Linked DNA regions of Coturnix japonica. The protein of the gene in region 2 purifies or fractionates together with the protein of the main gene of each other region. This does not show direct contact. Links are inferred from orthologs where the notes say so. Each region holds a gene or a part of one and is shown on either strand. Other genes may lie near its edges.

Region 1 (4,193 bases), on a different chromosome or scaffold from region 2:
ATTGTGACCTCTTATAACTTTCTTCTGCACACATTTCTCTAAACTTTACAGGAAATGCCCTCTTCGACCATATTTTCAGTTCACAGCCTTCCTCTGTACTTCCCACAGCTCTTAAACCCCCAAGTCAGCAGGTCACTTACTGAAATGCAAGCAAAGCAGTCAGGAAGCTCTGGGAGGGCATTAGTGTAGGTTTCATTACTGCTTTCACCATCCTTAGTTCACAGCTATTCACACACTGGTGTGGAGGTAGCTTTGTTTCTTAAATAATATATATGTATTTTTTTAAAGGCCAATATCAGTGCTTGCCTCCCTCATTTTTACCTAGTTCTGTGTCAGAAACAACAGAAAGACCAGGAGCCCTGTCTTGCTGCCTGCTATCAGTCTGGCGTCCTTTGCTCGCTGCTGACCATGGGCTATCTAATCAAAAGAAAAGAATCTTCAACATACACACCATATTCACGGTTATTATTGTTTAAAGGGACTATAAATAACAACAAATAAACATTTTTTCATCTATGGAAGAGGTGTCTGACCTGCCCAAGGACTCCATCCAACCATCAGATGCAGTTGTATTTTCTACCACCTAAGAGAGAATTGTTTGGTATGCTGAAGAGATGGAAAAAATCATTATTTTCCCCAGACTCACCAGAAATGTAGAGCTGAAATCAGAAAGAACATACAGAAAGAAAAAAAATGCTTTTTTTTCTTCAGAAAAAAACATGAGGTAACAAACTGTGGGCCAAAATCAGACACAGAACAAACTCCTCAGCTCCGCTGCGGAGCTCCAGTGCTAAGAATACAGAGAATACAGAATACAGTGCTCACTCAATACAGAGTGATGTGGGATTTTTTTGCAGTTGCACATTTGGTTAAAATACTGCTGAAGCGACTGTTCATTCAAAGCTACTATCACAAGTATAAAATGCCATTTAATAATCAGCTTTCAGGCAGGCATTTGCAGTCCAGATTGTTTAGTCATCAAAGTGGCTATTTACTTGAAGGTACTATCATGCATATAAAAAGTCATTTTATAATCAGTTTTCAGGTAGGCATTTGTGCTCCCGGCTGTTTAGTCATCAGTGGAAGCCACTTCTCAGGTGTATAAAGCCGACATAAGGACAATCAACACCATAATACTAGGCAGCCAGGCACCAGGCACATTTAAATCAGCTCAATAAGCTGGAAACCAAAAAGCAGCACAATGTTCTCAGGAAAGACCCACTTTAGAATGAATTATTGTACATTGTTGAGAGTATGTGACAAGACAGCTTTAATCAGAAACAAGAGAAGCGCAGAGGAATAATTTACACAAAGAAGAGTAACAAGAAATGCTCTCTCCGAGTTAAATGTTGCACAACCTCCCAATGTGTCACTGAAGGTTGAAGATGTGGTTCCCATTCCCACTGAACTCACTATGTGTCCTTAACTATTCTCACCCTGTAAACTCACTGGAGCAAAGGAGGACTGCTTTTTTGCAATTTAGAAGCCACTCAGAGCATGCAGTGCAGGTAACAATTCTATCTGTGTCATTACTTTGCTGCCTTGTCTCTCCGGGTTTGTCAGAGCAGGTTAGAGCAATGTTGTCTAATTAGGAGATCAAAAAAATTGGGAGAAAAAAATCCAAGTCTGCTGTTAGTGCTGACCTCAGTCCATGACAGGAGATGGCAAAGAAATTTAAGTCCTCTGTGCTTCAAAGGTACCTTTTGAAAGGGATACAGCTTTTCATCTAGCAGCAGTGCTTTTCACAGATCTGAGAAGGTTTTATCCATTCATGTTAGCACAGCCATTTGCAGTCCCTGAAATGCAGCAGTAAGTACTGCTAGGGCTACTTTCTTCTAATCAAGTTTTGTCTGCTTACCAAACATGCTCCTTCTGCAAAGCACGCATAGCATGCATTAATCTACAGGCACTGCAAAGATGATTTATCTTCCTTACATTTGGTGGTTACTTTTCTATTTCTTACTGCCTACTGTATTCAGAAATTCACATTTGGTCTTACACATTGTATAAATGAGAAAGTAACAGTAAAACTGGGCTCTGTAAGGCAGAGTTGTTTTGTTAGACAAAAAAAAAGTTGTTTTGTTGAGTCAACCTGCTCTCATTAAATCTAATGTGGCTTCATTAAGAATAGCAAGTGTCCAGATATTGAATCAAAGTAAAATTTTTGCACCTGAACAACATCTAATTTTGAAGAGTTGGCAAATTCAGCAGAATTTTCACACAGAGCTGCCTAGGGAGGGGACAGGGAAAGGCTTATAACAATACTTGTGGTAATACAGACCTCCCCCTGGAGGGGAGTTGCCAGTACTGTGTAACAGAATATAACCTGTCTTGTATTATTCACTTATCAGTCATTTTCTTATTTTTTTCTACCCTGATGAAACTCTCAATTTCAAAAGAGATTTTTCATTTTCATTTACACTGTTCAGATTCCGACCATGATACTGTAAACAAAAATAATCATTAAGTTTCCAGCTCAACAATCAATAATCATTTAGTTTCCAGCTTTTTATAACAATCAGGTATGCAAATTATCTGAATATAAAATTAAAAAAAAATAAAATTAAAAAAAAATAAAATTAAATTTAAAAAAAAAACAAAAAAAACAAAAAAAAAAACCATGGGAAGAGTTATTACAGGGGATCAAGAAGGGCTTATTTCTTCCCTGGTGTATAATAGTGACTTCCAAGCAAATTCCTCTCTTAGGATATTTTACATCATTACTTCTGTCTTGCCTGGAAACAAATGCCACAAAACAAAAGCTCTCTAAGAATACCTTAATCTGATTAACACCTCAGTTTAGCTACAGATGTCTGCATATTTATCAAAGTCTTCATGTAGAAAAGTGGTTTAAGTTTGACTTAACATACAAGCATAGAACAAGATTTGTAATTAATTAACCTAACCTCACATAAGCACGAATAGGTAATTTCAGAGCAAGAATTAAGCCAAGTAAAAGGGAAATACCAGAAAAAAAATAAAATAAAATAAAATAAAATAAAATAAAATAAAATAAAATAAAATAAAATAAAATAAAATAAAATAAAATAAAATAAAACAACAAATGTTCATTAGAATATTCCATCAAATGTATTTTCATTGAATGGACACTATTTATCATCAGACTTGTTTGATTACTTACTAAAATAACCTGCAAAATGCAAATTTCCAATCAGTACAGTATTACCTGCATCTTCACTTGATTTTTCTTTAATAATTACTCCCAGTCTGCAAGAAGAAACTACACTGTACGTATCAGGTGTCTTATAAATCAGTCTGAACACCAGCATCTCTCAGTTAAATGTCTACAGTACCCTGCAGAACAAGTTATTTTCTGAAATAACTCAATACATAAAATGAATAATGCTGGTGGAAGAAATATCATTCGCTGTAAGAAAATTTAAGAGCATAACAAGAAGTTTAAGTATTTGAATAAGCCATTCCCCTGCTAACTTGGAGGAACACTTACAGTCCTTGCTTAAATTAAAAAAAAAAAAAAAAAGGTTTGAATTATTAGTAAGAGTCAGAGTGCAGCAGGACCCTGCTTCCAAAGTGTCTGTATGTGCTGCCAATAAAGGGCACCCTGAAATACTGTGATGAACAAAGCCACAGATCCAAGAGGGTTTTTAAAGTATGCTTTAATCAAGACTTGACATTTGAGCTATAAATGTTTTCTGCAGGTCTATAAAATTATTAGTTGCAGTGAAACGAATGGCAGCTCAAGCAGGCAGTGCTGTCCTCAGTTTCACCTGCTAACCTCATCACAGCAAAAATCCATGAGATCCCACAGGACCACAGCAATGAGAGGAAATGGCAGCTGAAACACTACCATCTGTTTTTCCTGAAGTACAGACTGTACCAGCTCACTTTAGCCAAATGGTTTTCCTTTGGTTACCATGTTTTGTAACTTTATGAACAAAAGATGGAGCACAGCAGCATCAAATTCAGTGCCTGACAGTTCCAGCTGTAAAATATTTGGGATATACGGATAAAATAAAGCAAAACAACTGTATCTTACTCATTTTTTTCTAGGAATAAGATAAAATAAAGCCAAAGTAAATGCACAGAAGAGAAATAAATAGCTGATTCAAAAAGTTTTATATAAATCCCTAAAACTGTACAAACCACAGCTCAGCTATTAAATAGCAGCTTTGAAGGCAGCCTATTTAGTCATCTCTTACACATCACAACAT
Region 2 (4,002 bases):
GTAACTGCATTCCTCCTGTAACTCAATGAGGCACATCACTGCATCGCGCTCTGCCAGCCACTGCTGCCTTATGGCCCCACAGGTCGCTGCCAGTTGGGTTCCTCCAACAAAGGTGCTGCTGCAGTTTTTCTTTCCAGCCTCACACGTTGGATTAAAGCCATATGAAAATACAAGTAGTAACTGTCAAACATCTGCACTTCCTGGAAAGCTGTAACTCAGTTTGACCAATGCATGAGCTACATACAGTGCTACTCCTGATTAGCTATAAAGCCAAGGTAGGGTGGATTCCCAGAAGTAATAAAGAACCCAAATCCTCAAGGTTATACACACCGATGTTCTACAATGTAAGACTTCGAGTGATTTCCAGTTAAGGCACTTCAGCAGGGAACAACAACGGGCATTCAGCTTTGTGTTACATGACCTCATCTCAATATGGTATTGTGCTAACATAATATTCAGTCCTCTTTTATTCACCACGTTTCCTCTGATGTCCAAAGCCAAGAGGTGCCAGTAAAACCAACCCAGATGCAATACACCGAGTCCTTTCAGGGAGGACCATGGCCTTGTACTTCCTCACTCAATACCAACCTTACTAAGCATCCATGATGAGTCGACTGGCCATGCCATTAAATACTTCCATGAACTTAACAAACTCTCTTCATAAGAAAATAACCTTAGAAATTAAGAACTAACAGTAGATGCAACTTCAATGAAGGTCTGACATTCTACTGAAGTCTATTTCCAGCTCATAAACACTTCTACTTATGTGGATTCTTTTGCAAGATCAGTTTCTCCATCTCACAGCTGCGGGAGGAAGATATTCATGCTGCTGAAAACACACAAATTGTTTTTCTATTACATCTCTCAGTTAACTTTATCAGACCCACGGACACCCTGTGAAGCAGCTGTATATTGGTATTTGCCATTACACATGTCAGACACTGGAAATGCTGATGTTACACGAAGCTGGAGAATTTATGGAGACATAAATACTCGCTACAATATTTTAAGTCACCGTTTTGGGTGCGGGATTTCTAATCTCCACCCGCTGTGCTTCCCCCCGCCACCCTGGGTAAACTTTTAATCTCCACTGCTCTATTATTAGAGCTGGCTGGAAAAAGCTAAAGGCTGAAAGCTTGTTGTTTATTATGGAAAAGGTTAGGGCAAAGCCTTCAAAAAAAAAAACAACCAAGAACTAAATCATTGACTTTTCAGAAGAGGAACTAAGATATTTCCATTGAAAACTGTTTCTCTGAATAAAAAAATCAGTTAATGACTCAACATGAAATGATGCCCTTTCCAAAGAAAATATTTCACTACAGGAAGGAAAAACAAGTGTTAGCAAACACACAGCACCCAAAGATGGTCCAAACCGTACCCAAAGACCACGAGTTCTGTGAAGCAAACTGGCTTTCACACCATTGAAACACAAAATGACCACCCCACAGCCCAGCCCAAGGGCTGACAGGCCCCACTGAGCTGGGCAGTGTGTGAAGCCTCACCAGAGCCGGGCTGGGGATGTGCACTGGGATCCATGCAACCAGCAGAGCCTCCCCACCTCCTCCTCTTCCCTGCTCACCACGCAGGAATAACACAGGAAGCAACTCCAGCATCAGGAACAACTCTGGTTATTCAGCCCCTGTCCCAGGAAAATAAAAGGGGGGACGGGAGGGAGGGGGAAGATTGAAAAGGAAGTGGGGGGTGAGGGGAAAGAGCAATTGAATCCAGTCACCTCAGCCATGCCATGGGTGGTCACGTTGGGTGCTGGAACGAGGACACGGGCACTCCTAATGCAAACAGGGAGTGTGAGTTATTGCAGGGCATGGGGGTTATCGACTGGCAGCTCAGTCAGACACAGACATCGCCCTCTGGGTGAGGACGGGCAGACAGAAGCAGGGAATAAAGGGGGAACAAGAGAGGGGTCTGGAAGCTCTACGGGGTGTGGGGGGGTAACATGGGGGCAGACCGCAGCCAGCTCCCAGCAAGAGACACACACACCTCGCTGTGCCCACACCGGGATGCTTCACACGCGTTATGCTGAGCTCAGTGTGTGAAAGCAGAGCGCCTGGTGACCCCGGGAGGGCTGGTGTGAGCCAGCAGCTGGGGTCTGACACTCTCACCCCACGCTTTAAATAGGAGCGATGGGACACAAGTCGTGGCCGGCCAAGGACGAGCGGGGGCAGCGCCCAACGCCGCTCCCAGCTGGGGCGGACGGAGAGAACCGCGCTTAGAGCCAGGCCGCTCCCGAAGCGTCGGAACAGCCCAGGGCAGAACCGAGGAGCCGAACCGAGGAGCCGAACCGAGGAGCCATGCGGGCAGCCCGAGCCCTCGGGGAAAAGTCTCAGCGAACTCCGCGCCGCCACCGAAACTTGCCCGGACTTTGCCGGGCCCCGCCCGCCCTGATCCGGGATCACCCGAAACGGGGCACACCGACACACACAGCGCGGCCCCACAGCCCCACGACCCCACAGCCCCACGGCCGAGCCCCGCTCCCGGAACCCGGCCCAGGCCGCGCTGCCCCCGCCCCACTCGGAGCCCCACAGGCCCCGCTCCCCGCCCGCGGCCTCAGCTCCGACCGCCCCGCGGGGCCCAATGCAGCCGAGCCCGGCCCGTCCCGCCGCCAAAAGTTTCCAAGGCGCCGTTAAAGCGGCGCTAGTGCGATAGTTACCGGAGCAGGGACGAGGAGCCGCGCTGCGCCGCCGGACCCGCACCGACCCCCGGCCGCTTTGTCTGGGCCGCACCCGCTCCGTCCCGAGCAGGAAATGGGCTCTTCCGGGCGCCTCCCGCCGCCGCTCCCGCCCCGCCCGGCCGCTGTTCCCGTCACCGCCCGCCGCGCCGCCCCGCGGGCAGGTGAGGGCCCGCCATGGGGGTCAGCCCGACATGGGGGTCCCACCGCCTCCACTCGGCCCTGCACCCCTTCAGGCCCGGCTGCAGCACCCTCACATCGCCCCACACACCTCGTGCTTGGGGCAGAACCAACAATTCCAGTCACAAGCAAAAATTGTCCAGTTACCGGCCAGAGTGAGATCACAGCATGTCTGCGCTTGGGAAAGACTTTAGGGACCCCCCAGCCCACCCCCCACCAGCACTATTGCAGCCCCCAAGGGCCACATCCACACTCTCAGTGCCTGTGGGACGGGGCCTCATCGCCAGCTCCAGTGTTTTACCATCCTTTGTATGAAGAAATTATGATTATTATTGGTGTAGGGAGCCTGCTTTGGCAGGGGGGTTGGACTGGATGATCTCTAGAGATTCCAACCCCTACAATTCTGTGATTCTGTGATTATACCCAAATTAAACATCCCCTCGTGCAATGTGCTGCGTTCACCCTGCGTTTTGTCACTTGCCACAACACTGAGTGCTCCTACAGGCAGCTGTACAGAGCCAGAGGGTCACCCCAGAGCCTGCTGTGCTCCAGGCTGGACAGACAGTCTGTAAGTGCTGTTAGAAGAGCCTTGCAGGCCCCAAAGTCACAGTGTGAAGCTGCTGTCATGTCCCATGTTGGTGCTGTGGCTCCTGACTGGGACGTTACGGAGTTTAGTTGGTCTTTTGGTGTCTCATCTCAACACACAGAAGTCTGAAGCAGCATCCTTGTGCTGCTTGGTGCGGTCAGTGGCAGCTCCTGCTCTTAGGGAGCTTTTAGGAGCTGAGTGTTAGTCAATGAATGTAGATTTGTGGATGGGGAGAGATGTCTCCAAGGAGTAATGTATTTCAGAGGCTTTGAAGACAGCCAGTGACCACGTTTTCCCTGCATCAAATCACTGGTATTTTTCATAGTTTGTTTTGACATGACTTTTAATTCAAATATCTCTACAGAACTTACGCTCGTACTGGATTGTAAAAACAAATGAATAACTGTAATACATTTCATGACTCATTTGCCAGCATTTCCGAGTTACCTGAACCTATTTGCTCTGTCCTTTGATACCAATCAAAACACAGAGCTGGGCAGCCCTCAGGGAGCAGAGCATACATTGGAGCAAGGCAATTCAGCCCATGTAG
Region 3 (4,064 bases), on a different chromosome or scaffold from region 2:
GGGCCTGAAAATGCAATGGATGAGGCAGCAGTTCTTCCTGTAGTAAGACAGGTAGGTTGCCTCAGCCCTAGTGGCCTTCTACTAGGGGGGAAGCAACTCCTGTGAGATGAACTATGCTAGAATTAAGTTTTGAGGGATAAAAAAAACAAACAAAACCCACAAAAACCTGATGTGAGCACTGAAAACAAACTTTCTTGTTCCATTTTAGAAGCATGTTTTTTTAGTACAACCCTAGACTCCCAGATATAAACACACTATTCATATATCTACCTGCGTTTCTCTTAAGTACACTAACAACCCCTTGAAAGCTACTCACAGTTGTCCAAAGAGCCAGCATCTATGCTCACAACTGAAGAACAGACTGTAAAGCTCTTGAGACATGATCTCTAAGGTCCCTTCCAACCCACACAAGACTGTGATACTGTGAGACAGGGAAATCTTAAGAGTGCCACTTTGGAAACTTATCATTTTCAGGAAGAAAATGAGTTTCATTATATTACCCAGTTTTAAGTTAACAGCTGTAGGAAGGCAAAGAAGTTGTTTTACGCAATGAGTTGATGGTCTGAAACTCCATACTGAATTTGTTTCCCTCTGTCCTACGTAATCTGGAGGTTACGGACTGGTCAATTTCTAAACTCAGATTTTCAAGCTCAGAGTAACAGAATAGGAACCTAAGTGGTAACAATGTGGCAACTCCTGCTTCCTTGTTTCAATCTTGATACTTCCTATCCACCAGGCAGGCCCAGTAGTTCAGTAGTTAGTGCTTATTTTGAGTCCAACGAATGGTAGAAGTTGATACAAAATAAGAATTCAGCACACTGATTTTGTTAAAGTTGGCATTTCTGCCCAAGGTGCAGGGCAGGAAAACAGAAAGTGAGGACTGCAACCTACTGCAAGTGGCCAAAGAAGTTTGATGGGGCCATCTCCACCTGAAGACAGATTTCTCTCAAAGCGCTTTACTGGCCTCCATAAACTTGACTGAAAGCTTCCCAGAATATTCTCTCACCTCCCAAAAGAGGAAGAAAATTAGCAAATAATAATAATAAACAAGAGAAAAGTAAAATTTGGGGAAACAAGTTTCAAATAGAATTAAAAGACCTGGGTTAAAGACACTGCATAGTTGAAGTGAACTATTATTCATACATTCCTTCCAGTGTACAAAATCTGAGGAAGCTCTGATTAAGTAAATAACAGGGGTCAAAAAAGAAAGAATTTAATTTATTATAGGACATACCATTATGATAACTAAACTTCCTCATTCATCCTGGCTCTGACTCGTAACAGATCAGTGTTCTCCTGGAAAAGGAATCTCAACTAAACCATAAGAGGGAAAGAACATGATAAGGAGAGGTCAACATGGATGAGGAGGGAAATAAAAGTGGTTTTCTGAGCACATATATAGAAGAAATTCAAGAAACGTGAAGCTCTTATTAATACTGCTAAAAGACGCTCTATGATGTAGAGCTTAACAGAAAAGACAAATTAAATCCTACAGACAGCTTTCTTGGTTTCTGTTGTAGCAGCAGCTACCACAACTGTTTGACCGGATTCTGAAAAATCTTCAGGGAAGAAAAAGAAGATTGAAACACGACTGAAGAAAATTAAGAGAAGAGACAAACTTACAGCATGTGTAGTTGTCCAATAATTACGTTACAATTCAAAGCATATGTTCAGCTTCTACAAACTCCTCCAAAACTCCATCATCAGTAGAATCTCATCAACACCTCATAGCACATACTTATTCTCCTTTCAGACAGGGAAGTTCTGAGAAGGAACGCTCTATTTCCTGCATTAGTGTTAATGGAGTTTCAACAACTTCCAGTGAACAAGCTCAGTCACGCCATCACTCAGAGAAAGCTGTGACTTAAGGCAAACCTGCTTCAGTAGCATTCAGTCCTGAGGGGACCAATAGCCTTGCATTCTGTACAGCTACTCTGGCATCTGGGCCAGTTCCTAGTTTGTAATCTGGAAAAGTTTATTGAGTTTGTATACATATATACGTGCATATATGCGTGTGCACAAGCACACTTTAAAACAAGGTGCTACACTTTAATATAACAACACAGAAACACAAAATCACCCACATCTGCAACCCACGGATTTCTAAAGCATTCTCATACAAGGCTTCAACTTCCACAGTACCAGTTCTGAGACTACTTGATAAAGTTCTCACAAACGGAGCTGCTGTGCAAGCATAGCATGTAATTCACAAAAGCACAAGTGAGGATCAGGGCCGTGTCCCACAGGAGCTCAGCTTCAGAAAAGGATCCATACAACCAGGTTACTTACCAGTTTCTACAACTTACCATTCGCTGTTTGCCCACCTACCTTCCTCCACCAGGAAGGGAAGACCTTACAAGAGCTGATGGGCAGCACGACTCCAGTGCTCAGATTCAGCTCGTAGCGTTCGGATGAACACTCCAATAGCTTACACAGGGACGGCCATCGGTGTGCGGGGACACACCAGACCCAAAGTGGAAGCGGTAGCGCCCACAGGACAGGGGCTGCGGGCAGTCTCCGCTTCTCCCCTTCCCCTCTCCCTTCAGACAGAGCCGCTCCAGGCGCTGCGCAGGTAACCGAGCAGGCAGAGCCCGACCTCACCTTTTTCACTTTGCTTTCCAAGTCCATGCCGCCGTATCACCGCACACAGGGCTCGGGGCGCAGATCGAGGCAGGGAACAGCCCCCGGCCGGTATCGAGGCGGCTGAGCGGAGCCGCGGGCGACACACCGAGACCAAAGCGCCAGCACCGGTAACCGGCGCCGCCCTTCGCACTCCGCCGCGGCGCTCAAACTTCCGCTGCCCTGCGGCAGCGGCTGCAGCCGAACAAAGGCGGGGTGGCAGCCAATCTCCGCCCGCCCCCCCTCCCGTCCCCGCGCCCTCAGCCAATCCCCACCCCGCCGGTCACGGCTCCTGGGTTGTATGGAGGGTGTTTGGTGGTGCGGCCGTGCTTCTGTGGAGGGGGAGAACTGAATAGACCTGGGAATCTCCAACACTGATGGGAGAAGGAGAAAGAAAGCGAGGGGCCTTGCCTGCTCCCACAGCTGTGTGGATCCGCTTGGGTGCCCTCTCACCGCTGCAATGGTGATATCAATGGCGATATCTTCCAAGTGGATTGACTTCCACCTGGAGCGGCTGGAGGGATCTTGGCACTGCTGGGACTGATCTCATGGCGTGTTATCTCATCGTGCTGCTTTAGAGGAGTGTCTATTGTTTAGTCACGGTGCTGAGCAACATTACTTTTCTTCTGTTGGCTGCAGATGAATACTGTGATATAAAACTTGGACTTTGACCCCAGCCTTCAAATTCCCATATGTGTGATCAGTCATGGAAGGGAGCCGATAATGTAAAATGTACTTTATGTATCATGTATATACAGTATAAAATATCAGAGTGATTAAACGTTTGCAAGATTGGTTACTTCCATACATAAATGCCTTTAGATCTTTGGAAACAAATAGCAAACATTCATAGTCTTAAGTGAATGATTTAGTAGGTTGTCACTCATCTGAAGAGTCTAATCTTCTCTCTACACGCATACCAGTTGTTTTCATGCCTTACATCGTACATTTTCAGTACTTTATTTATTTTTTTTTTGTCATTTCATTACTTGTGGAGAGGTGACTGCAACAAAGGGAAAATGAGTCTGTATCTCTTTGCTGTCTGTTTACAGGTAAAAGGAAAATTCTGTTTGATTTTTCTGCTGGAACAGGTATCATGGTGCATGTATTTCTACCACAGAACCCATGAAACAAACTTTGACCAGGAAATTCACTAAAAAATTGAGAGGATATCTCAAGGTTGTATCTGAAATATTGCAGCCAGCCGGACCAAGGAGGTGATTGCCCCCCTACACTCAGCTCTGGTGAGGCCATGCCTCAAATACTGTGTTCAGTATTGGGCCCTTCACTACAAGGAAGACACTGAGGTCCTGGGGCATGCCCAAAAAAAGACAATGAAGCTGTGAAGGGTCTGAAGCATTGGAATTAAGAGAAGTGGCTGAGGGAGCTGAGATTGTCCAATCTGCCACAGAGGAGGCTTAGGGGTGACCTCATTGCTCTCCACA

What was found. Proteins that work in one complex are often made in the same cells at the same time.
Region 1: the proteins of CTNNA1 (region 2) and CDH5 purify together in Homo sapiens (affinity purification with western blotting; 4 studies listed by BioGRID and IntAct, counting the BioPlex papers as one, with this or other methods). This does not show direct contact. The link is inferred for Coturnix japonica from reciprocal best matches to the Homo sapiens genes CTNNA1 and CDH5.
Region 3: the proteins of CTNNA1 (region 2) and TES purify together in Homo sapiens (affinity purification with mass spectrometry; 3 studies listed by BioGRID and IntAct, with this or other methods). This does not show direct contact. The link is inferred for Coturnix japonica from reciprocal best matches to the Homo sapiens genes CTNNA1 and TES.

The regions. Positions count from the first base shown.
Region 1 is NC_029526.1:10,029,636-10,033,828, reverse strand, and holds the start of CDH5 (cadherin-5), read left to right. Parts: upstream 1-1,370; 5' UTR 1,371-1,385; coding exon 1,386-1,508; intron 1,509-4,193. UniProt on the Homo sapiens protein: Cadherins are calcium-dependent cell adhesion proteins. They preferentially interact with themselves in a homophilic manner in connecting cells; cadherins may thus contribute to the sorting of heterogeneous cell types.
Region 2 is NC_029528.1:14,040,073-14,044,074, reverse strand, and holds the start of CTNNA1 (catenin alpha-1), read right to left. Parts: upstream 2,804-4,002; 5' UTR 2,669-2,803; intron 1,524-2,668; exon of another isoform or gene 1,503-1,523; intron 1-1,502. UniProt on the Homo sapiens protein: Associates with the cytoplasmic domain of a variety of cadherins. The association of catenins to cadherins produces a complex which is linked to the actin filament network, and which seems to be of primary importance for cadherins cell-adhesion properties.
Region 3 is NC_029516.1:22,616,814-22,620,877, forward strand, and holds the start of TES (testin), read right to left. Parts: upstream 2,824-4,064; 5' UTR 2,629-2,823; coding exon 2,602-2,628; intron 1-2,601. UniProt on the Homo sapiens protein: Scaffold protein that may play a role in cell adhesion, cell spreading and in the reorganization of the actin cytoskeleton. Plays a role in the regulation of cell proliferation. May act as a tumor suppressor. Inhibits tumor cell growth.